Oryctolagus cuniculus: one gene and its partners. The protein of the gene in region 1 interacts with the protein of each later gene in a pairwise test. Links are inferred from orthologs where the notes say so. Each region holds a gene or a part of one and is shown in the gene's direction. Other genes may lie near its edges. The genes, in order: SATB1, PIAS4, UBE2I, PIAS3 and TOPORS.

Region 1 (5,838 bases):
CTGTGAACAGTGCTCTGTGCTGGCAGCATGGAAATCTTTAGCAATCTTCCTCCTGCTTCCATAGTTTCTCTCTCTCTCTCTAAATACAATTATTTATGGGGACTTAATGAGCGAGCAAGCCTGTGCGAAAGGAACTGAAGAAAGTGCAGCTTCCAAAAACACAGCCAGGCAGCTCTACAGTCTTTATTGTTACACCCTGCCGCTCTGCAATGCTTATCAGGAATCACAACTCCATTTCTCGCCAGACACACTTGCACGAAGGGAAGAAGTAGAGTCTGCTTCCCCTTAACTTTAGGTAAACAGTAGTAATGTTCTGTTGTCATACTCAATGCAAATTTCCCAAAGGCGACACGCACAAAAGACCTGTTAGCTGCCTTACAGCTGGGGGCAGGAATGGCAGGGCAAGGAGGGAAAAGTTGATGGAGTTCCAGTTTATCCTTAGCCTGGGGACTGGAGCCTCCAGGCACCCGCACCCTGGTGGAGCAGAGGTCTGTGGAGTTTCCGCCCCGCTCTCGAAAGGTTCCTTCTCCTCTCCTCTCCTTAGCCCCCTGTCCAGGAAATCCTCATCTCTTCCTCCCTCTTTGCCCCCAGCTTTTGGGGGGACTCGAACCTCAGCTTAGGCGTTCTCATTCCAGTGGGCTCAAAAGTGCAGCCGCTGACATAAGGAGGAATATTGAAACAAATGGGCTGGGGCACACCGCTGGGGTCGGCAAGCGAACCCCTCTGTTCTACCACCAAGCGCCGCTCAGTTGGGGTGCAGCCCTCCAAGATGGGGGTGGGGGTGCTGAGTGGGACGGGGGTGGGATGAAGAGAGACGGACGGGCCAGGCTGAGAGGGAAAGCGACCCTCTAGGAAAGATCTCGACCGAACACTGACGGGAAAAAAAAAAAATTGGCCCACATGCCCCTAGTGGGGAGCGATGCACCCCACGCAGGCTGGGAGGGGGGCGCATCGGGGCCTCGCACCTGACTTCCTCCTCCACCGGCACCCACACCGCTGACACCCCCTCTCAGTACCCTCCCCAAAAGCCCAGCCAAACAACGAACAACAAGAGGAAGCCGCAGGCGGCAGAGGAGGGGTGCGCGTGGTGGGGCCCGGAGAGGTGAGGGGGCAGGGGTGGCGGGCGTCGGGAATCGTGCCGCGCACCCCCGAGCGCCCACACTTACCCCTAGCGGCCCAGGGTCCGTTCTTCGCCGCTAACCCCGGCGCGTGCCCCTCGCCCACCCCGGGCCCTCCAGCCCCCGCCCCCACCCCGGCCGGCGCGCTGGGAGGGGGCCCGGGAGCGGCGCGCGCGGCGGCGGCAGCGGCGGCGGCGGCTCGGGCTCGGCTCAGCTCGGGCTCCCGTGCGCCCAGGGCTGCCAGCGGCCGCGGAGGCTCCCGCCGCCAGGGGGAGAAACCGGGGCGGGTGCTGGGGAGGCGGGCCGGGCCCCGGCCGGCCGCCCCGCCGGGCCGCCCGCGCCGCGCCAGCTCCGAAGCGGCGACGCGGGGTCCGCCGAGCCCCCGGGCGCAGCGAGCCGGCCGAGGCGCGGCGGCTGGATGCGCGCCCGGGTGGCTGTGGCCTCCCGCGGGGGCGCCCGGCCGCGGCGCTGCGCCTGCAGACTGCGGGCGCGGCGACCGCCCAGCCGAGCGCGGCTCCCGCCGGCCCCTTCCCCCGCCCGCCCCCGCCGCCCCCTCCCCCTCCCCCTCCCCCGTTAACATCTCCTCCCTCCCCCCCCTGCTCTTCCTTCCCTCGGCCCCGCGCGCTCGCTCGCTCCTCGCTCCTCGTCTCGCTCTACCCTTTAAACGCCCACTTCGGAGGGGGAAAAGAAGGCAACTTGAAGTCAAGTTGCGATTAACTTCCGCGGCAGCCGCAGCTCGGCGGCGGCGGCGGCTGGGGAGGCAGAGCCGCCGCCTCGGAGTCGGACGCGGGCGCGCCCGCCCGGAGCCGTGCCTGCTCTCGGCCGCACTCGACGCCACCGCCGCCCCCAGCACCCATGCCTGAGTGAGTTCTGTTCCTTTGCCTCTTTTCCCCGCTGCTCCTGCTCTTTCACGGCCGTGCCTGCCTCTTTTTCCGGGATCGACCCAAACTTCTCTGCAACACCCACCCCCGCGCCCCGCGCCCCGTGCCCCGCGGCTCGGCTCAGCGCTCGCGGGCGGCCGCCGGGGCCCGGGGGCTCGCGAGCCCCCGGAGGGGTGCGCCTTCCCGGGAGGGAGAGCGGCGGGCTGGGCACTGGCCGCCGCCGCCGTTCGCCCTCTCCCGAGGTGTGGACACGCGCACACACCTGCCCGGCAAACTCCCTTCAGGTCATCGGTCCAGCCCCTGCCAGAAGAGAAACCGGGCACGGAGGAGACCAGAGGACGCGGACGGGGAAAGGGGCAGGCTCTCCGCGCGCCCCGGACTGGGCGGGCTGGGGAGAGGAAATGTGCCCCCGCCGGCCCGCCGGCCCGTGCAGCATCCCTGGCCGGTCCATCCCCGCCTCCTCTGCGCCCGCTGGCGCGGCTGGCCGCGAGCGGCGGAGGCGAGGGGCCTGGGAAGTTTGTGGCAACTTCTCCATCCTGGGAGCCGCTCGGGCGCCTGGGCGCTCGCGTCGGGGCCGGGAGTTGGAAAGCTGCAGCACTCCGCGCCTCGAGCCCTCGCGGGCTTGGCTGCGGCGAGGCCGGTCCCGGAGGGGCTGCGGCGTGGATGCAGGTTAGGAGGCAGGGCGCGTGCTGCCCTCGGAGCGGGCATCGGGACGTCACAGGTGCAGCCACGAGGTCCCCTCCTGCGGTCAGGACCTGAGCGCGGCGGCCTCCTCCAGGTGCTCTCCCCTGCCGAGACTCCGGGGCTTGGCAAACCACGAGGAGAGGGAAGAAGCAGGCAGGTGGCCAGCCCGGGGAGGGGCGCGTGGCTGCGGGGAGGGGGGGAGGGAGGCGGGGAGCTGGGCGCGGGAGGGGGGACGCTGAGCAGGACCCTCCCGAGGTGACCCTAGAAGACGGAGAGGGCCGAAGTGCGTGGCACTCGGGTTGGAGGTTCTGGCTCCGGCCTCCACCGGGGCGTCGCACATCTCCCTTCCGAGCGTCAGCCACGGGGTCCTGTCGCAGAGTGCTCCGGTTGGCCACTTTGACCCCTGCGCCCGTCCTCGGAGAACTTTCTCCAAGACAGCCCGGGGTTTCCTGGCAAATGCTCTAAGACTGGAACTCCACGTAGTGGTTTAAAAAAACAAAAGCAGGGACGACAGAAAGATCTGATGCTGGCAGGGAGGGAACCTTTCTTTCCGGACTGACTGGGCTTCCACGCCTGCATCCTTGGAGGCCCGGGACCTGAGGTTCCCCAGAGGACAGAGGAGGGGGGTGAGAGTAAGTCAAGAGCGGGTTTTGTCCTTAGCAGCCCCTGATATCTGCAGTGTTTGTGCTGCGGACAGAGTAACTCGTCCCGTTCAAACTTAACTGACGTCGACACCCTATCTAAGGTGGATTTTTCCGAGATGTCAGGAATGTGAGGTTTATTCTATATTCAAATGTAGCTGCTAGATAAATAAATAAATAGGCCCCGCACTTTAACTCTGGAGAAAGCCAAGGTTGCAAGTATTTGCTTTGAAAACCTGCAGTCCCCTACGTGGTATTAGTGTGATGGTTTAGCAGCCGTCCTTTATTTCTATTGCGTATTATTTTAGTGGAACAGTAGTACATTCATATACTGGCTGCTCCAGTCTGCTGGCAAACATTAGCATTCAAGCTTACATTTTTGACAAATGTGCAGACAGGAATAGCATGAATAGGCATCTTAAATATTAACAACCTAAGCATCTGTTGTGAAACAAATTTAATATATTTACTCTGTTTTTCTCACATTGTTAGGAAAGGTTATAATAAGTGCATAATTTCAACTTTAGTTAGCAGAAGTAACTGGCTGTATCTTTCACTACCTCACCAAGTGTTTAACACAATCACCAGACGTAAATACTTTAATTAACTTGGTTAAGCTCATTATTAAATACACTTTAGACAATGTGCATGTCATGTAAAATGTAACTGTAGCAAAATATGTATCCTACTTGTGCACATTTTAAATAGCTATGCACTTTATAAATATACCAAATGTTTATTCTTCATCACCATTTGACACTTATTACTTCATATTTTTTCTAATGGAAACAGTATTTTAAATGTAGAGTTGTTCAGTCATATGTAGTACATAATATGTAAGCAGTAGCTATAAAATCCAAAGCATTGTTAAATTTGAATATAGCTACATGTAACAGGATAATACAAGAGAAGTAAAATCAATACTCAATTTTGTATTCCCTTCTGAAGAATAATAAATACAGATGATGAATAAAAAAAAGAATAGGGGCTTCCCTCCTAAAGTGCAAACTCCTTAAAATGTGTGTGCTGTGGGGGTGGGAGAGGGAAGAAATAGATAAGACTTAAAGAACTTCCAGAAGTCTGAATAGTTATTTTCAGAATCAATGCATTCCTCACTTTCCCACAAGTTGAAATATGTAATAAATAATAGTTCTTTGTATGTAAAAGTATTCAAAAGGAATGCCTTTTGTTCAGTTGTTGTAATAAATTAATATATTCTTTGGTTGATAATCTAGAAAACCAGTTCTTTTGTCTCCTAGCATCTTAAACAAGAACAGCAACAAAATGATTATTTGGTTTATTGCTGCAAAGAAGTCTGTTGCCAGCCATATGAACCTGTGGTTGACTATGATAGGATATGCTGAGTGATGGTTAGGAACTCCAGTACATTAAATTAGCAAAGATTGAGATATCTAGAGGAGAATTTCAGCTCTTTTCTTTTCTTTTCTTTTTTTTTAATGTAACAGGTTGTGGATTGTAAATTAGGCCTAAAAGGTCAGGTGACAGGCACCTGTTCCTCATTATTGTAAAAATCTTTTGGTTACAAACACTATTAAGCTAAACACAACATGGATATACAGCAGGGACTCTCTAAAGCACTCTAGTGATTTTTCATCTGCTCTGTAAATTTCCAGAAGGGCCATATATAGATATGCCCTTTACACAAATACATCGTTTCTTCCATACATGTTGTCTTGGATGACTGTAATTTATGTTATATTAGTACTTGGAATTGATGAAGTATGTAAAATAAATGCATGTGACTAAATCAATCTTCAGATTATGTCTAGACATATTGCAGTCAAAAAGTGTATTTTAAAACACCTCCTTTTCTTATAATCTATTGATTAATTACCAGAATTTTTGTTCGTATTTTAAATAGAAACCTCCCAAAATTGCCTTTCATACTGTTTAGATGAGATGTATTCCCATTTTAAATGTGCCATGAAATATTTTTTGCTTGATACTCATATTTAAGGAGGAAATCAGTTGCTGTATATCTCCATAGCTTTGTGGCACACACAGGAAGCAAGCCACATTTTACATGAATGCTGTTAGAAAGGGTATCATCATTTTATTTTCAAACTTGCTGCTTCTCCTGGGTGTGTTCGGCAGTATTTCCATTGGAATTAGGGAAAGTGGTTTGATTTTCATGAATGGTTTACCCTTAGATATTTCAGAGAGTACAGTTAGCATGCATATTGGAAAGACCCAAGTAGCACAAGGTTGCCAAATACTAAAGGTGCCAGTTGCTTTTAATTAGTAAAGCAGGAGAATTGGGAGTGAATTAGATAACTCGGATTATTAAACCCTGTTATTTACATACGTTCTTTGTCTTTTTTGGTTTTGTGAGTTTCTGCTGATGATGTGAAGTATTCACTTTTAGCATTTGTGATCAGATTACAGAGCAGTCATTACTCTTACTGTTCAAATTGATTTGGTTTTCAAACTCCAAAAACTCTGTGATGATTTTTACAAATTGGTTTACATTTTGACAGAACAGAGTTAAGTTAA
Region 2 (6,115 bases), on another chromosome or scaffold:
CTCCCTGCTGTGGCCTGGGAGAGCAGTGGACGATGGACCAGGTGCTGGACTCCTGCACCCGCGTGGGAGACCTGGAAGAAGCTCCTGGCTCCTGGCTCGCATCGGCACAGCTCCGGCCACTGCGGCCAACTGGGGAGTGACCCAGCGGATGGAAGACCCCCCCCCTCTCTCTCTCTCTGCCTCTCCTCTCTCTCTCTCTCTTTCTCTCTGTCTCTCCTCTCTCTGTGTAACTCTGACTTTCAAATACATAAATAAATCTTAAAAAAATACTGCAGCCACTTATTCCCTTATTTATTTGGGGGGGGTAATCAAGAAATGGAGAGAGAATTGGAGAGCCTGGCCACCTTCGAGTTCACCTCCCAGCGCTTCTCATTTATTTATTTATTTATTGACAGGCAGAGTTAGACAGTGAGAGAGAGAGACAGAGAGAGAGGTCTTCCTTTTGCTGGTTCACTCCCCAAATGGCCACTACAGCCAGCTCTGTGCCGATCCGAAGCCAGGAGCCAGGTGCTTCTTCCTGGTCTCCCATGCGGGTGCAGGAACCAGGATCAGGCTGGGACCAGGATCGGGGCTGGGACAGAACCAGGGCCGGGACAGGACCAGGGGTGGGACAGGATCAGGCAGGGACAGGATCGGGGCCGGGACAGGACCGGGGCTGGGACAGGACCGGGGCTGGACAGGATCGGGGCTGGACAGGATCAGGTCCGGGACAGGATCAGGGCTGAGACAGGATCAGGTCTGGGACAGGATCGGGGCTGGGACAGGATTGGGGCCGAGACAGGATCGGGGCCGAGACAGGATCGGGGCTGGACAGGATCGGGGCTGGGACAGGATCAGGGCTGAGACAGGATCAGGGCTGGACAGGACCAGGCGGGGACAGGATCGGGGCTGGGACAGGATCAGGTCTGGGACAGGATCGGGGCCGGGACAGGATCGGGGCTGGACAGGATCAGGGCCGGACAGGATCGGGGCTGGACAGGATCGGGGCCGGGACAGGATCGGGGCCGGGACAGGACTGGGGCTGGGACAGGATCGGGGCTGGACAGGATCAGGGCTGGGACAGGGCTGGGACAGGATTGGGGCTGGGACAGGATCGGGGCCGGGACAGGACCAGGGCTGGGACAGGATCGGGGCCGGGACAGGACCGGGGGTGAGACAGGACCGGGGCTGGGACAGGATCGGGGCTGGACAGGATCGGGGCTGGACAGGATCGGGGCCGGACAGGATCGGGGCCGGGACAGGACCAGGGCCGGGACCGGGGCTGGACAGGATCAGGCCGGGACAGGACCGGGGCTGTGCCCTGTCTCCATCAGCTGTGGTGCTGCGAACACTCCTGAGCCCAGGTGAGCACACACAGCGGAGGCTGACCGGCCGCAGGTTCCGGCTGAGAACGCGGAGCCCACGGCCAGCGCGGGTCTCTCTTCCCAAGCCGCTGCCATGGGTGGCACCGTGGAAGATGACGCCTGGGACGCGCGCAGCCCGTATGGGAGTGCTGGCTCCAGCTTCGGCCCGGCCGCGGCCCTGGGGGGCCGGGATGGAGCTGCTGCCCCCACCCCCGGCTTCAGCCTGCTGGCCCTGGCTGCCTCGGAGCTGGGCAGGTCCCAGCCGGACAGGGACCCAGGGCTCGCCGTGGACACCGGCCCGCGGCGCCCCGGGGAGGGGGGTCCCGCGTTCGCCCGCCCGGGCCCAGCCCGGGGTGCAGCGCCCGCGCCCCAGCTGCGCGCCAGGACCCGGATGTGCAGCGCGCGGGGCGCCAGGGGCGCTGAGCGCGCACCGCGCGGCGCTGCAAGGCGCCCACTGCACGCACTGGCGGCCGCAGCGGTTGAGCAACCGTCCCCTCCCCCGCCGACGCCGGGGAGAGTCCAGGCACGCACCTGGCGACCGCCGCGCGCCGGGAGACGCGACACCTGGCCGCATTGTTGTCGCCCGCCACCGCCCCCTCCCTTCGTCCCTCCCCAGAGGCGACCCAGCACCCGGCCCCACCTGCGCGCGGCTCCTGCCCCTTTAAGAAGCCAGACCACGCCAGGAGTGGGCGTGGCCTCCGGGATCAGAAGGGAGGGGGGCCGCATCCGGCTGTTCTGATTGGCTCGAGGCCCGGGCGGGGCCGCAGGCGCTTGCGCAGTGAGTGGCAGCGCGCGCCGTGGGGGGAGGAGCGTGCGCGGGTGCTAATTGGCCCGAGCGGCGGCCCCGCCCGCGAGTGGCGGTCGGTCACGTGACGCGACGGCTGGGGGCTCCCGGCGCGGGGGACGCTGGTGGCCAAGATGGCGGCGGAGCTGGTGGAGGCCAAAGTGAGTGAGCGGCGGCGGCGGCGGCGGCGGCGGCGGCCGGGGCGGGCGGGCGGCCGGGCGAGGGGGCGGGGACCCGGCCGCAGGCCGCGCTCTGCGCCTTCCGCTCTGGCGCTCCCGGGGCGGCCGGGTCCCCCCGGCCCGGCCCCCGCCCCCGGCCCCGGGGCTCAGGGTGTGGGCGGGGGGCGGGGAGGCCGGGGGCGGGGTCCCAGCCTCACCCCCGCGTTCCCGCCCGGAGCCCGTCCGGGACTGGAGGCGGGGTTCCGTGCAGCCCACCCGCGCGGCCGGGGGCCGGGGACCCCTGCGGAGCGGGCGCAGGGCCGCGCCTCCCTGCGGACGGCCCGGGCTTCCCGCTCGACTCCTGGGCGCCGGCCGCGGGTGTTCGCGCCTCCCCGCTGCGGGGCCGTTGGGGGCCGGCGGCGGGGTCTCGAGCCCCCACGCCCCGGCCCGGCAGGTCGCGACTCCGGGTGCTGACCCCTCGGCCTCCAGTGCCGGCATGCGGGTGGGGGGTCCGGGCGCGGGTCCGGCCCCCCGTGTGGGTCCCGGAGCTCCAGCCCCTCCTCCGTTCCTGCCCAGGGACCCCCCCCCCCAGGCGCCCCGGGTTCAGTGTCGGGCGCTGGGCCCCGCCGCGGGGCCGGATTTGGGGCTCGGGGTCCCCTCTCCCCGCCCCCCCTGCGCACCCTCCGCGCAGGCCCCTCCCCCCGGCGCCCCCGGGGGTCTGGTAGACACGTTTCTCTAGCGAAAGTTGTGGCGGTGCGCGCTCCGTGTGCGTAGACGGTGCTCTCTCCCGGGTCCGGGACCTCATTGAACTCTGTGGGGACAGAGCCTAGCGCCAGCGTCTCGCCTGCCCCGGGTGCCCCCCCCACCCATGCAGCACCCTGGCCTCTGTCCCTTCCTCTCCCAGAAGCCACCAGGGAGGCGGGGGCCCCTGCGCGAGGCCCCGGCCTGTGAAAGCTTAGCCCCGCGCTGAGGTGTAGACGCCACCCCCCCCCCCCCCCGCGCGGTGCAGCCCGTGCCTCGCCTGGGCCGGGGGCTGCACTGGGCTCTGACCCCCGCGGGGCGCGGTCCCGTGCAGGGCTGGGGGCCACAGCGCCCGCGTGCCCTCTGCCCCCGCCTCGCGGTGCAGCCCGTGCCTCGCCTGGGCCGGGGGCTGCACTGGGCTCTGACCCCCGCGGGGCGCGGTCCCGTGCAGGGCTGGGGGCCACAGCGCCCGCGTGCCCTCTGCCCCTGCCTCGCGGTGCAACCCGTGCCTCGCCTGGGCCGGGGGCTGCACTGGGCTCTGACCCCCGCGGGGCGCGGTCCCGTGCAGGGCTGGGGGCCACAGCGCCCGCGTGCCCTCTGCCCCTGCCTCGCGGTGCAACCCGTGCCTCGCCTGGGCCGGGGGCTGCACTGGGCTCTGACCCCCGCGGGGCGCGGTCCCGTGCAGGGCTGGGGGCCACAGCGCCCGAGTGCCCTCTGCCCCCGCCACGCACGGTGCAGCCCGTGCCTCGCCTGGTCCGGGGCTGCACTGGGCTCTGACCCCCGCGGGGCACGCTCCCTGTGCAGGGCTGGGGGCCGCAGTGCCCCGTCCCCCCGCCCGCGTCCCCGCTGCCCCCGCCACGCACGGTGCAGCCCGTGCCTCGCCTGGTCCGGGGCTGCACTGGGGTCTGACCCCCTCGGGGCGCGGTCCCGTGCGGGGCTGGGAGCCGCAGCGCCCCGTTCCCCCCACCCCGCGCGGTGCAGCCCGTGCCTCGCCTGGGCCGGGGGCTGCACTGGGGTCTGACCCCCTCGGGGCGCGGTCCCGTGCGGGGCTGGGGGCTGCAGCGCCCCGACCCGCGAATGGGTGCAGATGTGGCCTGGGTGCAGGGGGCTGTCCTGGGGAGGGCGTGACAGGCTCGGCTGATCCGGGGGGCTCCTGAGGCAGGTTTGGGGGTGCGGCCTGTGGGGTCGCTGTGCTGAGAGTTCACAGCCTGTGCAGGTGTGGGGGGCCACTGTCTGCTCACAGAGCTCAGGGGGCCGCCCCGGGCGGGCTCCCACCCAGGCCCCAGGCTGCGCTGTTTGCGGGCAGAGGTCTGGTGGGGGTGGGCCGTGGCCCCGGGCGCCCCCTCCGCCTGCCGCGGTCACGCGCAGGTTCCTGGGCGGCGGCGGCGAGCAGATGGCAGCGTGAGGGCGCCCGCGGCTCCGGATGTCCAGCCCGTGCGGGGGACTCCCGCGTGCAGCGCGGTGTGCCAGCCTTGAGCCTCTTCCAGAAGCGACATCTTGTCCACAAGCCCCCCCCCCGCCACAGGAAGTCAGGCCGGGAGGGGCGGCGTCTCTGACCCCAGAGCTGGCCGGCACCCCCAGGCAGCGGCCCGCTGGACAGCGACGGCGCCCAGGCTGAGTCCGAGGAACCGTGGGAGACTCCGGGCAGGCCACGGCCCCTTCCCGCCCCCGTTTCCCCACCTGCCCGAAGGGGCCGGGCGGCCCGGAGCCCCCTGCGGGAGGAGCCGCTGAGGCTGGCTGAGGGTGGGCGCAGCCAGGGCCCCGGAGCCCGTCCTCGGGGCCTCACTCCAGCAGCCGGGGGCGGGAGACCCCAGGCCGCCAGACGCTCGGGGCAGCCGGCCGTGTCCCCGCGGCGGCCCTGCTCTCTCCAGGCCCGGGCACCTGCTTCCCCTCTGCCCCTGGGGGTCTCTCACCCAGGCCGGTGTGGGGGTTAGTGCAGCGTCCTGCCGGACAGCCCAGCTCAGACACAGGGCCCGACCTCGCCGGTGAGACCGTGCCCGCCCGTGGGCCCTCTGGGCGCTCCGCTCAGCCCGGCTGGCCCCGGGGACAGAGCCAGGCCCAGGGGACAGAGCCAGGCCCAGGGGACATCCGGTGTTTTAGAGTGCGCCCAGCGCCCACGATGGCCTTACCCGGACAGCCGTCTGGGCCAGTGTCCGCCCTCTGCGGGGGGGCACCGAACGGGCTGGGGCAGTGTAGGAAGAACGCAGGGTGTGGATTTGAATCCCGGCGCTGCTCTCCCGAGTGGACGCCTGCTGTGTTAAGGGCTATTTTTTGTTTGTTCAGAAGAGTTACTGAGAGAGGTAGAGACAGGTCTTCCATCCGCTGGTTCACTCCCTGGTGGCCACTGCAGCCGGAGCTGGGCCAGGGACTTCGGGTCTCCCACGCGGGTGCAGGGGCCGAGGACTTGGGCCATCTGCTGCCTCCTCAGGCCACAGCAGGGAGCTGGATCAGAAGTGGAGCAGCCGGGACTCGAACCGGCGCCCATAGGGGACCGTGGCACTGCAGGCCGGGGCGTTAACCTCCGTGGCTCTTTTAGGGGTCACAGCTCCGTGCGTGGCTGCCCCTGCCGTGGGCTGACCGCTCTGCCTGGCAGCTCTGGGGTGGCCGGGCCCGTGCCTGGTAGCTCTGGGGTGGACTGGGCCCCATGCCTGGCAGCTCTGGGGTGGACTGGGCCCCATGCCTGGCAGCTCTGGGGTGGCCGGGGGCCCCGTGCCTGGTGCCTGGTAGCTCTGGGGTGGCCGGGCCCCGTGCCTGGTGCCTGGCAGCTCTGGGGTGGCCGGGGGCCCGTGCCTGGCAGCTCTGGGGTGGCCGGGGGCCCGTGCCTGGTGCCTGGCAGCTCTGGGATGGCCTGGGGGCCCGTGCCTGGTAGCTCTGGGATGGCCTGGGGGCCCGTGCCTGGCAGCTCTGGGGTGGCCTGGGGGCCTGTGCCTGGCAGCTCTGGGGTGGCCGGGGCCCGTGCCTGGCAGCTCTGGGGTGGCCGGGGCCCGTGCCTGGCAGCTCTGGGGTGGACTGGGGGCCCCATGCCTGGTGCCTGGCAGCTCTGGGGTGGCCGGGGGGCCCGTGCCTGGCAGGTCTGGGGTGGCCGGGGG
Region 3 (5,873 bases), on another chromosome or scaffold:
ACTTGAAGCCCAACGCGTCCAAGGGGGTCTGCGCGGTGCCCCCTGCGGGGAGGGCGCGTGCGCAGTTGGAGCCCCTCACCTGGGGTAGGCACACCTGGGCGAGCAGTCCGGCCGGGGATGCGGCCGGCGCCTCGCGACAGGGCGCCAGGAGCCGGCCAGGGTCTGCGGGTGGGCGCCAAGGGCGCGCGGGAAGGGGGCGTGTGCGTGCGTGGCCCGGAGCGGGGCCGAGACGCCAGGTGTCGCCGGTGGGCCCGGTGGAGCAGAGGAGGAGGCGCACCTGGCGCCTGTAACAGCCTCGCGTTCCGCGTGTTCGAGCCCTGCCGGGCCTGCGCGCGTCCCTCCCCTGCTGCTCCCCTCCCCGTACGAGCGGGATCCCGGCTCCAGGCGCACCGCACGGCTGGATTCGCCCCCGGTTCCCCCGCGCAGCCAAGCATCCGGCTGCCCACCTGCTGTGCAGGTGCGAGGTCCCGCGGGGGAGCCGCGCGAGGGCCACCCGGGCAGGTAAAGGCGCCGCAGTCCTGTAGGTGCGGAGGCAGACGGACCCCTGCCCCCGGGGCGTTCCGAGAGCGCCCGCCCGGCCGCCCAGGGGCCGGGGAGGAGCCCCCGCAGGCGACTTTGGGCGGGCAGCGCTCGCGGGCAGAGGCCGGAGGCGGGAGCGGCGCAGGTGCGCGAGGCCCTGTCTGGAGACGGAAGTGAGGCAGCCGAGGCCCAGGCGGGAGCGCGCGGCAGGTGCGTCCCGCATCCGGGCGGGGCGCGGCTCTGGGGCAGGGACAGCGCTGCCCGCGGTCACCAGGCGGTGGGCAGCGAAGGGCGTCCAAGGGCGGCCACGGGGAGGAGGGCCCGGCCTCCGCTCCCCCCGGGACACAGCCTCTCTGCGCGCTCCTCCCTGGGCGGGAGTGCGAGGCGGGGTGGGCCCGCGGTCGCCGGCTGTCCTGGGACGCACACTCCCCCCCCCCCCGAGGGTGGGCCCAGACCCCGGCTCCGCCCCCGGCACGGGGTCGGGACGCACCTGTTCTCGGGAGTTCTGGGTTTTGCTCAGGTGTGGATTTCTGACCAGCCCCCCAGCCCGGATTTGTGGGTGATCTGTGGAGGGCTGCCCCCCAAGGCGGGGCCGGGGCCCTCACCCCCCCCCCCCAGCCTCAGTGTGTCCTTTGAACCTGGCCCATCTGAGGTGGGTTCCCTGCCCCAGGTGTCCCCGTGTGGAGGACCGCGGATCCGGGACCCCTGAGCTGACCCCCTCCCACCTGCAGACCTGGGCCCCCCAGCTCCCCCTCCCCACAGACCTGGGCCCTACCCCCCCCACCTGCAGACCTAGGCCCTGCCCCCCACCCCTGCCCATTGGGACCCCAGGGCCGCGGTCCAGCGGCTTCTCCACGGCCACACAGCCCAGCGCAGACCGCGGGGAAGCTGGGACCGGGACCTAGGGGCGCGGGGAATGAGGGGCGTCTCTGCCCCCTCGGGGGTCTCCGCCGCTGCCGCCAGGCCTGTCAGCCACGTTCCGTGTCCCGGCAAACCAGAGCTGCGAAGGCTGCGGACGGCGGAGCCTGGAGGAGGGCGTGAATGAGTGCCTTCCAGGCCCTCTGCGGCCGACCCCATCGCCTGGCCCCGGGCGCCCACCGCGCCGACGGCTCGGACGGCGCCCTAGCCCCAGGGGCGACCCCGCCGTGCCCGCGCGGGACGGCGCGGACCCGCGAACCGCGCGCTCGCGCTCGTGGGACGAGACCGCGCGCGGGAATCCCGGCGCGCCCCTCCCCCAGGCGGGACGGCCCCGGGCTAGGGAGCGTCGGCGCTTCTCCTCCCGTCGGTCTGGCGAGCGTCCGGCCTTCCGTACGGCGTCAGCTGATTGGGCGGATCTGGACGATGCCCCGCCCAGGCCCCTGCATTGGCCAATTGCAGGGGGTTTCACAGGACGCCAGACTCAGGGGATTGTCGCCGTCCTGCGCCGTTTCGGGCATCCGTAGGCCTCAGTGGTCTTTGCCCCCCGGCCCCGGGCCCCGGCCCCAAGGAGACCTCCGGAACCTACGCGCTGAGACGCGCCCGCCGGGCATCCGGGGAGCCCTTGAGGAACGCGGCGCGCCCCTTCCCCGGCTGCTCGCCGGCGTATCCTCGAGTGCGCCCGCCCGCCCCGAAGGAGAGTTTGCAGACGCTCCCTCACTTCGAGGACGCGGCTCCTTTAAGAGCACAGGTGTCCAGGGCGCCGCCTGACTGGAAAGTCGCCCCCGGGCCGGGCTCCCCGACGGGACGCGGGACGCGGGCGCGCGGCGGCGGGGCGCGGGCGGCGAGGAGCGCGCGGGGCCGCGGGCGGCGCGCGGCGCGGCGCGGCGGCGGCGGCGCGCGGCGCAGGCGTGCGGCGGGCAGCCCCGGGCCAGGCCCCGCCCCGCCGCCCCGCCCGCGCCGGGGTCCTCGGCGCTCGGGGCTGCGCGCGGAGCGGGCTCCGGAGGGAAGTCCCGAGACAAAGGGAAGCGCCGCCGCCGCCGCTCGGCCCCCGCTCGTCCGTGACGCTCGCCGGGCCGCGGCCGCCCGAGGTGAGCGGGGCCGGGCGGGGGGCCTCGCGGGCTCGGGCCGGGCCGTCGGCGGCCCGCGCGGGGCGCGAGGCGGGCGCCGCGGCCTTCCGGGCGGCGCGCGGCCTCGGGGTCACGGCGGCCGCCCGGGCCGCGCCTTCCTCGGGCCGCGGGGCTCGCGGGGCCGCCCGGGAGGGCGCCGGGAGCGGCCGGTTGCGGACCAGCGGGCGCGCGGGGGGCTCCGCCGCCGCCGAGGGAAGTTTTCCTGCGCGGCCGAGAGCGCCCCGCTCGCCACGGGCGGCGGGCGGCTCCGTGCCGGCCAAGGTGAGGCCGTGGCCGCGGCCCCCAGCCCCCTGCCCCGCCGCGGGGGTCGCGCGTCTTCGGGGCCCGGAGCGCGCCCGGCCCTCCGTCCGCCTCCCGGGGCCTGTGTGGGCCGCCTGCCCCGCGCGGCGCCCCGGCCCTCTCCCGCAAGGCCGCTGGCCAAGCCCGCCGCTGTGCCTTTGTCTGGCGGGGCGCGGGGGTCCCGGGACGGGGGTCGGGCGCAGCCGAGGGAGGCGTGGGGTGCATGCCCCAGAGGGCCCGTCCGCGGGTGCGGGAGGGCCGAGAAGGGCCACGGAGGCGGCCGGTGCGGGCCGCGGCAGCCCACCTGTCCAGCGCGGCTGCGTGCTGAGACTGAGGCCGGGCGCCCGGCGCCGAGCAGGTGCGCACCTGTGGCTCGGCCCGGACGGGCAGCGCCGCCCGCCGCGGGGGTCTCTGTGGGCGGAGCTCTTTCGGGCCCAGCACGGGCAGGGGTGCAGTTCTGATGCGCTGGCTCGGGAGGGCGGGTTGCAGCGGGGAGGGTGTGAGAGGCGCACAGGAGCCTTGGGGACCGACGTCGGGCTCCCCGCGGCCCCCAGGCCCCTGCCGGCCCCTGCCCCGTGCTGTGCTGCCTGCTTCCGGGGACCCCAGGGCGCCCGGGGCTGGCTCGCGCGCTGCCCGTGCAGGTGGAGGCTGTGGTGAGCCACAGGCAGGTGTGCTGGGACCGGGCCGCCACGCCTGTTCCCGGAAGGGGCCCGGGCTGGGGCGCCAGGTGCGGGAAGGCGTGGCAGCCTGGCGGCGGCTTCGCCTCTTTAAAGGTTTATTTATTGTCAAGGCAGAGTTAGAGGTCGCGCAGCCGCTGGTTGGCTCGCCCAGACGGCCCCGTCGGCTGGGGCTGGGCCGTGTGGAAGCCGGGAGCCTCTTCTGGTCTCCCACGCGGGTGCAGGGGCCCAAGGCCCTGGGCGTCCCCCCGCAGGGAGCCGGCTGGGAAGTGGAGCAGCCGTGGGCTCAGCCTGCAGCCGTGCGCGGTGTGCGACGGCCGGAGGCGCCGGCACTCAGGAGCCCGAGGACCGTGGTCCTCGTCCGATCGTCTGTGGAGGTCTGGCTCTCCTGGGCTCTCGCCTGCTGGGTTCTGGGATGCCGCCCGCCCCGGGCAGAGCCTCCCCCTCTAACCAGTGCCAGGTGAGCCGTGGAGTGGCTCTGTAGCCAGGGACTTGGAGGGCGACACCCGTGGGTTCCGAGGACGGGGCAGACAGCAGCTGGTGGAGTCCAGGCGCGGCGGCCTGGGCCCTGGGCTGTGGTCCTGGACCTTGAGGGCCGCTGTGGCCGGCCCTGGTCAGGGCGCTGGCCCTCGGGTCCGGGGCGCAGGCGCCCTGCGTGGGGGAGGCCAGGCTGGGGCAGCGGCGCTGGGCTGCCCCCCTCAGCAGCGCCGTGCGCCCGCGGCCTGAGGTGTGGGGCCCTCCCAGCCTGGCGTGACTCGGGCTCGTGGGAGTGGGGCCCTCACGGCGCCCGTGTCCCCAGGACTGGAACATGTCGGGCATCGCCCTCAGCAGACTTGCCCAGGAGAGGAAGGCCTGGAGGAAGGACCACCCGTTTGTAAGCAGAGCCCGCGGGCGGGGGCGGGGGCGGGCGGGGCGGGGCGGCCTGAGCGCCCGGGGACTCCCCTGCTTGTCCACGCAGGGCTTCGTGGCTGTCCCAACCAAGAACCCCGACGGCACGATGAACCTCATGAACTGGGAGTGCGCCATCCCCGGCAAGAAGGGGGTAAGCGGCCGGGGCGGGGGGCGGCGGCAGGACCCCGCGCTGGTGGCTGGTGGCTGCTCCGAGAGGGAGCTTTATGTCTCGCGGTCCCTGACCTGGCAGTGGCCTCAGCTCCAAAGCCCCACCCCTGGCTGGAGAGACTGGCAGGGCCATGCGGGGGGCGGGGGCCGTCTGCCTGCCAGGGTCTGCGTTGGCAGGAGGCTGGGACTCGAACCCAGTTCCCCACGCGGGATGGGGGTTGACCACGTGGCCCAGCTCTCCTCGCCCCTCCCGATGCGTCACGGTGGCCTCCTGGTCGGGAGCCGCCGGCCCCAGGGTTTACTCTGCAGCGTGGGCTCAGCCTGGCGTGGCTGCCTCCTCCCTCGGACAGGACTGGACTCTGCCCCGGGGGCTGGTGGAGCCATGGCGGACCTCAGGGAGAGGGCTGCTGGCCGCGCTCGTGCCCGAGCCCCGGGTCCCCTGCAGCCCGGTGCAGCCCTGCCCGGCCCCTCCGAGGCCCCGCCGGGCGCCCGTGGCCCCTGACCTGGTCTGTCCCCGCAGACGCCGTGGGAGGGCGGCCTCTTCAAGCTGCGGATGCTTTTCAAAGACGACTACCCGTCCTCGCCCCCGAAATGTGAGTCGCCCGGGGCCCGCCGGCCGCCTGCGCCCACACCCGCACGTGGGGGTCCCTGCCCTGGTGGGAGGGGTGGTCTGCTTGACCTGCAGCTCTGTGGCTGTGGGGGAAGGGGCTGGGAGACCCGGGTTCTTAGTGGTTGTCGACGAGGTCCCTGCACTGACACCCAGTGCCGCATGCGAATGGACCCCCAGCCGTGGCCGCTCCAGGGGTGGTGGGCAGCGCAGGGACGTGCAGGGAAAAAAAGGCTGAGGACACGTTCAGAGTGGACAGGCACTGCCCGGGGTCCACGCGGGGTGGGTTAACGTGGGACAGCCCCGGTCCACGCGGGATGGGTTGACACAGGACAGCCACGGGTCCATGCGGGATGGGTTAACACAGGACAGCCCCCGGGGTCCATGCGGGGTGGGTTAACGTGGGACAGCCCCGGTCCACGTGGGGTGGGTTAACATAGGACAGCCCCCGGGGTCCACGCGGGATGGGTTAACATGGGACAGCCCCGGTCCACGCGGGATGGGTTAACACGGGACAGCCCCGGGTCCACGCGGCATGGGTTGACACGGGACAGTCCCAGTCCACACGGGATGGGTTAACACGGGACAGCCCCGGGTCCACGCGGCATGGGTTGACACGGGACAGTCCCAGTCCACACGGGATGGGTTAACACGGGACAGTCCCGGTCCACGCGGGATGGGTTAACA
Region 4 (5,016 bases), on another chromosome or scaffold:
CGCCTTGTTTTACCTTTATGTGAGAGCCAGAGAGACAGACAGCAAGACAGCTCTCATTTGCTGGTTTGCTCCCCCAAAATGCCCCCAACAGCTGGGGCTGGTGGGCCAGGCTGAAGCTGGGAGTTGGGAACTCAACCCAGATCTCCCAGCTAGAGGGAGGGGACCTAACTTCTTGAGCCATCATTTGCTGCCTCCCGGGATCTGCAATGGCAGGAAGCTGGAACTGGGAGCCAGAGCCAGGAGCTGAACTCAGACACTGTGATAGGGGCTGCAGGCATCTTCACCACCAGGCCAAACACCTGCCCCAGACCCCCTTTAGTACATATGGCTTATTTCTCCTCACCAGGAGAACCCCACGTCTCACCGTGTCCCTCTACTACTCCACATATGTGGTGACATTAAGGACTTAGTATAGATAAGGCATCTTGATGCTAAGCACTTTGCATGCATTATTGCACTAGATCTTCCTCATAACCCTGTGAGGTAGGTACTTCATTACAGAGGGGGTAACTCAGGCTTGGAGATTCTTACTCAAGGCTGCACTGTTAGCAGCAGAGGCCAGTGTATCGCTCGTAACGACTCCCTGACCTCCCACTAAGGAGGCGGTGAGGTCCTCCTGAGGGCCTGGGGATGCTGATCTGGCTGGTCTCGGGCCCTGTCCTGAGCCTATGTATGGTTCTTGGTCCCAGTGCCTTTTTGGGGGTGGTTGGTGGAGTTCTGCCTCTCTGCTTCTGTCTTGTTCCTAGACCATGCATAGCTAGGGCTCAGCTTGTGTTCACTTTAAAACATACAGTTTGTAAAGCTCTTATTTGATTGCAACAACTCCAGGAGGTCCCGTAGTTTGGACAGGATCCCTCTATTGCCCAGGAAGGTGAGTCCTGCATCTCTCTGGCCACTGTGGCACTCAATTCCCAGCCCCATGAATTTCCACCTCTTCCCTCCCACAGTTTATTCATGGAGATTCTAAATTCCTGTTCGGACTGTGATGAGATCCAGTTCATGGAAGATGGCTCCTGGTGCCCAATGAAGCCCAAGAAGGAGGCGTCTGAGGTTTGCCCCCCGCCAGGGTATGGGCTGGATGGTGAGTGACCCCCTGTCCCCCAGATGAGCTAGACCTTGGCTGGCCTTTTCTCTGAGACACAGTCTTCTCACCACTTGCAGGCCCCCAGTACAGCCCAGTCCAAGAGGGAGCTCCAGCAGAGAATAAGAAGAAGGTGGAAGTGATTGACTTGACAATAGAGAGCTCCTCAGATGAGGAGGATCTGCCTCCCACCAAGAAGCACTGTCCTGTCACCTCGGCTGCCATCCCAGCCCTGCCGGGAAGCAAAGGGTATGAGAAAGTAGGCTGACTCCGCACTAGGGAGGGCACAGCAGAAGTCAGTAGTGCTCTCTGCTCACCGGGCAAACCTGGGGCCAAGGGAAAGGCAATGGGGACAGAGAGGACCCTTGGGGAGCTGGGCGGGGTGGGGCATCTGGGGTTCGCCGGCTGCCCCAGCTCCTTCTCTCCACTCGCAGGGTCCTGACGTCTGGCCATCAGCCGTCTTCGGTGCTGCGCAGCCCTGCTATGGGCACACTGGGCGGGGATTTCCTGTCCAGTCTCCCACTGCACGAGTACCCACCTGCCTTCCCCCTGGGGGCCGACATACAAGGTACGACCCTGCTACCCACTCCCCCGAGCCCAGCAGAGCCCTTGCTGCTCACCAGGGGCCGGAATCCCAAAGACTTGCCTGTCTTGGTGCTAAGAGGGTGGGACAGGAGGGTGATTTGTATTTTCCCTTTCCTCCCAGGTTTAGACTTATTTTCTTTCCTTCAGACGGAGAGTCAGGTACGTGGTCCCTTCTCCCGTGCAGCTCTGATTGGGGCCCACACAGAGACCCGGATCCGCTTTTCTCAGGGGAGGTGGGGTGCGGGCAGCACTGGTACTTCCTCAGATTGCCACTTAGATCTTCCTGGATCCCTTACTGTTCTGTCCCGAGGGATTCTGGTGAGCTTCTGGCCCTGCCCCCCCCCCCCCCCCCCCGCAACCTGTGTATGCTTAAGAGCACCAGACCTGCCCCAACTGGACAGTCCACATATTTCAGACACCCACAAAGGCCAAGAACCTAGCAACCCAGAAGGGCTGTGTCAAGGCCTGGAAAAGGGGTGGCGTGGCAGGGAGGCAGGGGGAAGAGTCAGAGAGAGGCTTCTTGCCTCCCAGGGAACACCTTAGGGTCCCCATAACAGTTCTGGACCCTGTGACCAGGAGGCGGGGCTGAGTAGGGGTAAAGTCTGACACTGTGCCCTTGATCCCTCCCAGCACTACGGCCCCTCTGTCATCACCTCTCTGGATGAGCAGGATGCCCTTGGCCACTTCTTCCAGTACCGAGGGACCCCCTCCCACTTCCTGGGCCCACTGGCCCCCTCGTTGGGGAGCTCACACCGCAGCTCCACTCCAGCGACTCCTCCTGGCCGGGTCAGCAGCATTGTGGCCCCCGGGGGGGCTTTGAGGGAGGGGCACGGAGGCCCGCTGCCCTCAGGGCCCTCCCTGACTGGCTGCCGGTCTGACATCATCTCCCTGGACTGAGTCCCTTGGACTGTGGAGCCTGTGCTGCCCCCCACCCCGCAGCAGGTATGCTGTGGCCGCCTGACCTTTCTGGGGACTGTGGTCAGAGGTCAGGCCTGACTTTTCCTGGAGACCTACTGGTGGCCTCATCTTTGCTTGACAAGGCCAGCACCCAAAGGGTTAATATTTAACCTCTTCAAGGACATGGAGGGGTCTATTTTTGGAAATAGTCTTCAGATGGCTGCACATTCCTTTGGGTACCTAGGCCAACAGGAGGGGGTGTGAGTCGGGGGGAGGGGCTGAACCCCTGGCCTCTACTCTGTCTAGAGCCTCTTGGCAGAGGGGCCCTCTCTTCCCATCCCCCAAACCCAAACTTTCATTGTTTCTTCTTGTCTATTCCGCTCCCTTTGGCCATGCAGATGAGATGGAGAAACTGAGACAGGCGATTTCAGAGATGGACAGAGAACTCTATTTTGGGTTGCAGATATTTTGTACATAAACAAGAAAAACCAAAATACTCCAAAGATGACTTTCCCAACCTCCTACTTCCCAGTATAACTGAGGAGATGAGGCCTTAGCCGCGATCCCCAGGGGTTTGGGAGCAGGGCCTAGCCTCTTGCCTGGGTCTCTATTTATATATTTAAGTTCACAGTGTTTCTTAAGCTGACTAGCCTGGGGCCTAAGCGTCTAGAGGCCCGTGGCCCTGTAGTCAGGCCTGGCTTATTCTGCACCTTTCCTGGGAAGTGGGGGGACCCACGTGCCCTCCTTTGTCGGGCCCCTCCAGGGCCCAGCATACGTGTTGCAATTTTACTTTGTATTCCCAAAGTTGTAGCAGGTTTCTCACCCATAATAAAGGTTGTGAATGTTCTGTGAGCGTCGTGGAGGTGGGCTCTGGAGGGGATTACCCACTTCCCTTTCCAGAGCGCTGGGGTAGGGGAGGAGGGTCCACGTTCTGTTCTTCCTTTGCGACCTGGGTCCACGCTTGCCACACTGAGGACTTCCCAGAGTAGTCGGTTTTCCCTCGCGCCCCCGCCCATAACACCACCAGACCACTGGAGCCCAGCGCCACAGAACCCTCTCATGCCCCCCCACCCCGAACACCACCAGAGCACTCCACAGTGCCACAGAACCCTCCCGTGCCCCCGCCCAGACCACCACCAGACCACTCCAGCCCAGCACCACAGAACCCTCCCATTCCTCACCTTTACCGGCCCAGCTGCTGTAGCCAGAGCCCGAGGGCAAACTTGGTGCCAGAGCTGACTCTCTCCGGGTTGTCCTCTGCGGTAGGGGGGGTGTTCCGCAGCAGCGTGGATGTGGGGAGCGCCACGGCTCGGGCCCTGCCCTCCTCTAGTTCCATTGCTCTGCATGGGGACAGCTCCTGTCTGGGCTTTGCCTTGTTGGGCTTTCATATGTTAGGTCATCTACTCTCAACTACTGTAGCAGGTGGGTGGCTAGCTGTGAACCTCATTTTACAAAAAGGAAGCATGTTCAAGGAGGGTTAAGGGACTGGCTCCCATGGGAGAGCTTTGAGTCAAACTCTGGACCTCCGTGCTAGGCAGCTGGAGTCCTTGATCTCATGTGGTTTCTTAATTCTCAGAAAATCAATGGGGTGGTGGGGTGGGTAGAGCTCAGGGAAAAGTTCTTACCCCACAGAGAGTGGTAGGTCCGCGGGGAGGATTCTGGGTGCTTCTGTCCCATCCTCCGTGGCAGCCACTGCAGCTGCGATATCTGGTCCCAGCCACATAAAAGCACTCACTTCACTTGGGTTTGGTTGGATCCTGGCCTAGGGTCAGACAGGACCCCTCAGTCCCGGCTTCTCCCTGGGAGGCCTGTCCTTGATACTAGCCTACTTGCAAGCGGAATGCTTAAAGACAGGGGAGGAACTACTGGATGCTCTTGGTGTCTCTGCCCCGCCCCCTGTGATCCCCTGAGCCCCATTTCCTTCCTCCCTAGCCAGCCTTACCTGCAGCTGCTGCTGTGACTCCTGGGAGATGACGAGTAGATAGAGAACAATGTGATGGTATTTGGGGAAACCCCAGCTCAGCCTAGGCGGGTAGGCAGACTGAGAAGAAAGGCAAAAGAGAGGGCTTCCTGTCTCTGATTCTGAGACTTAGTAAGTACAGCTCTGGGGTGGGCCCACAGCTGAGGAAGTGGATGGTAGACACGGTGCACCAGGGACACAGGTGAGGGTTTGGGCCTCTCCCACTTCCTCTGTGGCTAAGGCAGCGTCTGCGGACTTGCTGCTGGTGGCGGCAGTGGCCGTGGTGGTAGCAGAGTGTTTGCTGAGGTCTCTTGGTTAAGTGGGAAAGGATGGTCCCCAGGTCCCTGGCTCACCTCCCATAGTCCCAGAGGGACCCAAGAGAACTGGCCCTGTGCCAGCCGCAGTCCAGTCTCCTCCCAGAGCTCTCGGAGTCCTCCATCCAGCAGCTGGGAGTAGGAGAGAGGGCGGGTCAGGCGGCCAATGCCTTTTGCTC
Region 5 (5,353 bases), on another chromosome or scaffold:
TTGATGAATATAAAGAAAACAAAGCTAATCTTTAAGATTCTAGTGATCGTTTGGGAAAAGGTAATAGGTAAGGGAAATGAAACATAATTTCAAGATACCTTGGTGTTGACTTTTGGATTAAATAAAAAAGGCAAGGAAGGCTTTTTAGAAATGCTGACTATAATAGTACAATAACAATAGCATAGTAGTCATAATAATAACAGTACTCAGTGGGCACTATTAGTCAGCCATTGCCCTTAAGTGCTTTTACATTTATTTGACTTTATCTCCACTGAAAGATCCCTTTTTAAGTAATTTTTGAGAACTATAGAATTAAACAGGTGAACTTTGATATGTAAATTATATTTCACTAAAGCTGTTTTAGAAGAGTACATATACAATATTATCATAAAGTAAATCAATACTATATAATATTAAGGGCATATGTGCATGAAAGGTAGGAAATAGACAGAAATAGTATAAATTAAGGGGAGTGATCCAGCGGAAGGAAGACCTTTTTCTCTCTCTCTCTCTCACACTGTCTATAACTCTACCTGTTGAATTAAAAAAAAAAAAAGTATCAATTGAAGGTTGTGTTTTTTTTTCTCTTAGAGATAGAGGAATGAATAAAAGAAATCTGGAGCAACTATGAAAAGTGTTAAATCTGAGTGGTAGATACATGGGTATTTGGAATATTTTGTTTTGATCTTTTTTGGGTATATATGAAATATTTTTCAGTGAAATTATTAGTATTAATATTTTTAAAGATTCATTTATTTACTTGAAATTCAGAGTTACACAGGGAGAGAAGGAGGGGCAGAGAGAGGTCTTCCATCTGTTGGTTCACTCCCCAGTTGGCCTCAATGGCTGGAGCTGTACAGATCCAAAGCCAGGAGCTTCTTCCAGGTCTTCCATGTGGGTGCAGGGGCCTAAGGACTTGGACCATCTTCCACTGCTTTCCCAGGCCATAGCAGAGAGCTGAATGGGAAGTGGAGCAGCTAGGACTTGAACCTACACCCATATGGGATATCAGCACTACAGGCTGCGGCTTTACCCGCTGCGCCACAGTGCCAGCCCAGTTAAATTATTTTTTAAACAAAATAGAATATTACGTAATATTTAAGAGATTATTAAGTTCTGGGTACCTTTTCTAATGTCTTTTTACATCTTTACAGACCCTGGGAGGCAGGTTCTATTATAACTGACCTACAGGTGAAAGTAAAGCGCATGCGTAGTAACTGGTCCACAGTCACACTGATAGTATGCAACCAGGATTTAAGACCAGGAAATCTAACTTTAGTGCTTGTGCTGTATGTTACTATATATTCCTATGCTATAAACCATTCAGGTATTTTCACCAAAGTATGTTCCAAGGTCTTTATTGCATTTTTGTTCAGATTATTTAGTCATTCTTTTTTTTCAGGTTACTGATATATTTCTTTCCCTTTTACAGATAATGGCATCAGCTGCTAAAGAATTTAAAATGGACAACTTTTCACCTAAAGCTGGCACTAGCAAATTGCAGCAGACAGTACCAGCTGATGCATCTCCTGATTCTAAGTGTCCTATATGCTTGGATAGATTTGATAATGTGTCTTACTTAGATCGCTGCTTACATAAGTTCTGTTTTCGCTGTGTACAGGAGTGGTCAAAAAACAAAGCTGAATGTCCACTATGTAAACAGCCCTTTGATTCTATTTTCCATTCTGTGAGGGCAGAAGATGACTTTAAGGAGTATGTCTTAAGGCCTGCATATAATGGTTCCTTTACTACCCCTGATGTTCGGCGATTTCGCTACCGTACAACCATGACAAGGGAGCGGAATGCATCTGTTTATTCACCTAGTAGCACCGTGAATAGAAGAACAACCACTCCGCCAGACAGTGGAGTACTATTTGAAGGATTAGGCATTTCAGCAAGACCTAGAGATGTTGAAATTCCTCAATTTATGAGACAGATTGCAATAAGGAGGCCAACTAATGCAGATGAACGATCTTTACGGAAAATTCAAGAACAAGATATTATTAATTTTAGACGAACTCTCTATCGTGCAGGTGCTCGAGTTAGAAATATTGAAGATGGTGGCCGCTACAGGGATATCTCAGCAGAATTTTTCCGTAGAAATCCAGCTTGCCTTCATAGATTAGTCCCCTGGCTAAAACGTGAGCTCACAGTTCTTTTTGGAGCTCATGGATCTTTAGTCAATATTGTCCAGCACATCATCATGAGTAATGTGACTCGCTATGACTTGGAGAGTCAGGCGTTTGTGTCTGACTTAAGGCCATTTTTACTTAATCGAACTGAGCATTTTATACATGAATTTATCAGTTTTGCTCGATCTCCTTTTAATATGGCAGCTTTTGATCAACATGCCAATTATGATTGCCCTGCTCCTTCATATGAAGAAGGCAGCCATTCTGATTCTTCAGTCATAACAATATCTCCAGATGAAGCCGAGACCCAAGAACTGGATATGAACATTGCCACTGTTAGTCAGGCACCGTGGGATGATGAAACTCCAGGACCATCTTACTCAAGCTCAGAGCAGGTACATGTTGCCATGTCTTCCGTTTTAAATACTTCGGACAGCTCAGATGAAGAACTTGTCACAGGCGGAGCCACATCTCAGATACAAGGTGTGCAAACCAATGAGGACCTAAATAATGACAGTGATGATTCTTCAGATAATTGTGTCATCGTTGGGTTTGTTAAACCACTAGCTGAGCGGACCCCAGAACTTGTTGAACTGTCCTCTGATTCTGAGGAGTTAGGCTCGTATGAGAAAATGGAGACAGTGAAGGCACAAGAACAAGAGCAGTCTTACAGTTCCAGTGATAGTGATGTGAGTAGATGTTCATCTCCACGCTCTGTCCTTGGAAAGAATGAGCAAATGAATAAAGGCCGTTGTGATTCTGGTACAAGAATCAAATCAAAGAAGGAAGAAAAACGATCTACATCAGTATCATCTCCCAGAGACCTGAGAGGAGACAGAGTAAATTCCCTGTATAACCATAGACACAGGAAGAGGGGAAGATCAAGAAGTTCAGATTCACGGTCCCAAAGTAGAAGTGGGCATGATCAGAAAAATCATAGAAAACATCATGGGAAGAAAAGAGTGAAGAGCAAACGATCCAGAAGCAGGGAGAGTAGTAGACCTAGAGGGAGAAGAGACAAAAAGAGATCACGAACTAGAGATAGCAGTTGGTCAAGAAGAAGCCAAACTCTCTCTCTAAGTAGTGAAAGCACAAGCAGATCAAGGTCTCGTAGCAGTGATCATGGGAGAAGAAGATCACGGAGCAGAAATAGAGATCGTTACTATTTAAGAAATAATTATGGAAGCAGATACAAGTGGGAATATACTTACTATAGTAGAAACAAGGACAGGGATGGCTATGAATCATCTTATAGGAGGAGGACTCTGTCTAGAGCCCACTATTCCAGACAATCTTCAAGTCCAGAATTTAGAATTCAGTCTTTTTCTGAAAGAAATGCCAGGAAAAAGAATAATCACAATGAAAGGAAATATTACTATTATGAAAGGCACAGATCAAGGAGCCTGTCTAGTAATAGATCAAGGACTGCATCTACAGGACCTGACCGAATGAGAAATGAAAAGCCTGGTGGGAAACGAAAATATAAAACACGGCATTTGGAGGGTACTAATGAAGTGGCTCAACCGTCCCGTGAGTTTGCTTCTAAAGTGAAGGATAGCCATTATCAAAAATCTTCATCAAAATTGGATGGAAACTATAAAAATGAGAGTGATAGCTTTTCAGACAGCCGATCATCAGACAGAGAGACAAAACACAAGAGGAGGAAAAGGAAAACCAGGAGCCTAAGTGTGGAGATAGTTTATGAAGGAAAAGCTACTGATACAGCTAAACATCATAAAAAGAAAAAGAAGAAACACAAGAAGAAGCATAAGAAACACCATGGAGATAATACTTCACGGTCCCCAGTTGTTATTACCATTGACAGTGACAGTGATAAGGATTCTGAAGTCAAAGAAGATACAGAATATGACAATAATGGTCTTCCAGACCCTCTACATAATGAGTTTTTGGCTCCTTCCTTGGAACCATTCGAAACTAAAGAGGTTGTTACAATAGAAGATGAATTTGGAGTCCTGGATAAAGACTGTGACATTACCACACTTACTAGCAACTTAAATAATGGCAACAAAACTGTGGATGTTATTCCACCCCAGGCAACTTCAGTTGAACAAACTCTTGACGTGAGAGAAGAGAGCACCTTTGCCTCTGATTTGGAGAACCAGCCCAGTAATGTGTCTCTTCAGTCTGAGCCATTAAGGCAGTTGCCATCTCCACGGACATCATTAATGTCAGTGTCTCTTGGTAGAGACGGATAGGTCTTAAAAGCATCTCATTGAGAGTTTTGATGGTATAAAAAGGAAAAAGAACAATGTCATCTATTACAGTCTATTTAAAGATGACTTTAGATTGAAAACTTTCCCCTTAAAATATTTTGTGATTTTTTTGTGTTAATTTGTAAAAAAATCATTATTTGTTCAAAAAGTTATGTATGTCCCACTCTGAGATATGCACTTTTAAGTGAAGAAGATATTGTTAGCAGTTTATTTAAAACTTGGGATCCTTTTTAAATAAAAACGTATAAATTTTAGAAGTTATTTCATAAAGCCATATGGTATTGACATTTTTAAGGTAGTCAATGAGTATTTTTGAATTTTTTTTTTATTTTGAGAGTTATTCTGGAAATGTGTTATGCTAGGAGAATCCCTTTGGGCAGTCTTTATTTTTCTTAAAAATTTGTATGATTCAAAACTATTTCTTTGGGATAAATTGAGAAGGCATTTTAATCTGCACAGTTTATCTTCTGTCAGAAAAATTTAGTATTTTCCTTTATATACTTGTTTATCTGGACTGCCAGTAAAACACATGTGTATTCAACAAAAGGAAGAAAAAAATAAAACGGTAACACTTTAAAACAAGAATTCACAAATTTTCCTATGCAGTATTGCTTTAAAAAAAAATGGTAGAGCCAAAATCTAAAGCATAGGTGATACATGTTTATAAATACTTGACAGCTTTAATGGTTATTTCGGTTCTTCAGTATGATTTTGGGTTTTTCTGTCTTCAGCAAAATGCAGTGAGGTGGCATTTGGCTTACTAAAAACACAAATGCTCTTAGGAAACCTCTTTTACATTGGTAATGCTTTTATACAAAGTAGCTATGTTGATGTTTTGGTGATGATAAAATCATTCCACATTTAGAAAACTGTTGTACTGCCAGAGAATAGCAGATCTTGAACTAAATTCGGCCATATTCATTCATTATTCAGTGACAGTGGGAATGTCTGTTGTAAGGCAGGTTCTGTGTTAGAACAAAACATACG

The links.
Region 2: the proteins of SATB1 (region 1) and PIAS4 interact in a two-hybrid assay, tested with the Homo sapiens proteins (2 studies listed by BioGRID and IntAct). The link is inferred for Oryctolagus cuniculus from reciprocal best matches to the Homo sapiens genes SATB1 and PIAS4.
Region 3: the proteins of SATB1 (region 1) and UBE2I interact in a two-hybrid assay, tested with the Homo sapiens proteins (3 studies listed by BioGRID and IntAct). The link is inferred for Oryctolagus cuniculus from reciprocal best matches to the Homo sapiens genes SATB1 and UBE2I.
Region 4: the proteins of SATB1 (region 1) and PIAS3 interact in a two-hybrid assay, tested with the Homo sapiens proteins (2 studies listed by BioGRID and IntAct). The link is inferred for Oryctolagus cuniculus from reciprocal best matches to the Homo sapiens genes SATB1 and PIAS3.
Region 5: the proteins of SATB1 (region 1) and TOPORS interact in a two-hybrid assay, tested with the Homo sapiens proteins (2 studies listed by BioGRID and IntAct). The link is inferred for Oryctolagus cuniculus from reciprocal best matches to the Homo sapiens genes SATB1 and TOPORS.

The regions. Positions count from the first base shown.
Region 1 is NC_091435.1:154,005,301-154,011,138, reverse strand, and holds the start of SATB1 (DNA-binding protein SATB1), read left to right. Parts: upstream 1-1,842; 5' UTR 1,843-1,981; intron 1,982-3,120; exon of another isoform or gene 3,121-5,838. UniProt on the Homo sapiens protein: Crucial silencing factor contributing to the initiation of X inactivation mediated by Xist RNA that occurs during embryogenesis and in lymphoma.
Region 2 is NC_091447.1:59,293,906-59,300,020, reverse strand, and holds the start of PIAS4 (E3 SUMO-protein ligase PIAS4), read left to right. Parts: upstream 1-2,129; 5' UTR 2,130-2,261; coding exon 2,262-2,288; intron 2,289-6,115.
Region 3 is NC_091450.1:33,711,170-33,717,042, reverse strand, and holds the start of UBE2I (SUMO-conjugating enzyme UBC9), read left to right. Parts: upstream 1-1,919; 5' UTR 1,920-2,185; intron 2,186-2,368; exon of another isoform or gene 2,369-2,525; intron 2,526-2,672; exon of another isoform or gene 2,673-2,825; intron 2,826-4,319; 5' UTR 4,320-4,328; coding exon 4,329-4,394; intron 4,395-4,478; coding exon 4,479-4,562; intron 4,563-5,099; coding exon 5,100-5,172; intron 5,173-5,873. UniProt on the Homo sapiens protein: Accepts the ubiquitin-like proteins SUMO1, SUMO2, SUMO3, SUMO4 and SUMO1P1/SUMO5 from the UBLE1A-UBLE1B E1 complex and catalyzes their covalent attachment to other proteins with the help of an E3 ligase such as RANBP2, CBX4 and ZNF451.
Region 4 is NC_091438.1:49,038,161-49,043,176, forward strand, and holds the end of PIAS3 (E3 SUMO-protein ligase PIAS3), read left to right. Parts: intron 1-947; coding exon 948-1,081; intron 1,082-1,161; coding exon 1,162-1,330; intron 1,331-1,515; coding exon 1,516-1,649; intron 1,650-1,787; coding exon 1,788-1,825; intron 1,826-2,296; coding exon 2,297-2,563; 3' UTR 2,564-2,961; coding exon of another isoform or gene 2,962-2,979; 3' UTR 2,980-3,410; downstream 3,411-5,016. Other genes in the region: NUDT17 (nucleoside diphosphate-linked moiety X motif 17), read right to left, coding at 3,747-3,903, 4,189-4,325, 4,506-4,604, 4,877-4,969. UniProt on the Homo sapiens protein: Functions as an E3-type small ubiquitin-like modifier (SUMO) ligase, stabilizing the interaction between UBE2I and the substrate, and as a SUMO-tethering factor.
Region 5 is NC_091432.1:195,919,106-195,924,458, reverse strand, and holds the end of TOPORS (E3 ubiquitin-protein ligase Topors), read left to right. Parts: intron 1-1,432; coding exon 1,433-4,348; 3' UTR 4,349-4,951; downstream 4,952-5,353. UniProt on the Homo sapiens protein: Functions as an E3 ubiquitin-protein ligase and as an E3 SUMO1-protein ligase. Probable tumor suppressor involved in cell growth, cell proliferation and apoptosis that regulates p53/TP53 stability through ubiquitin-dependent degradation.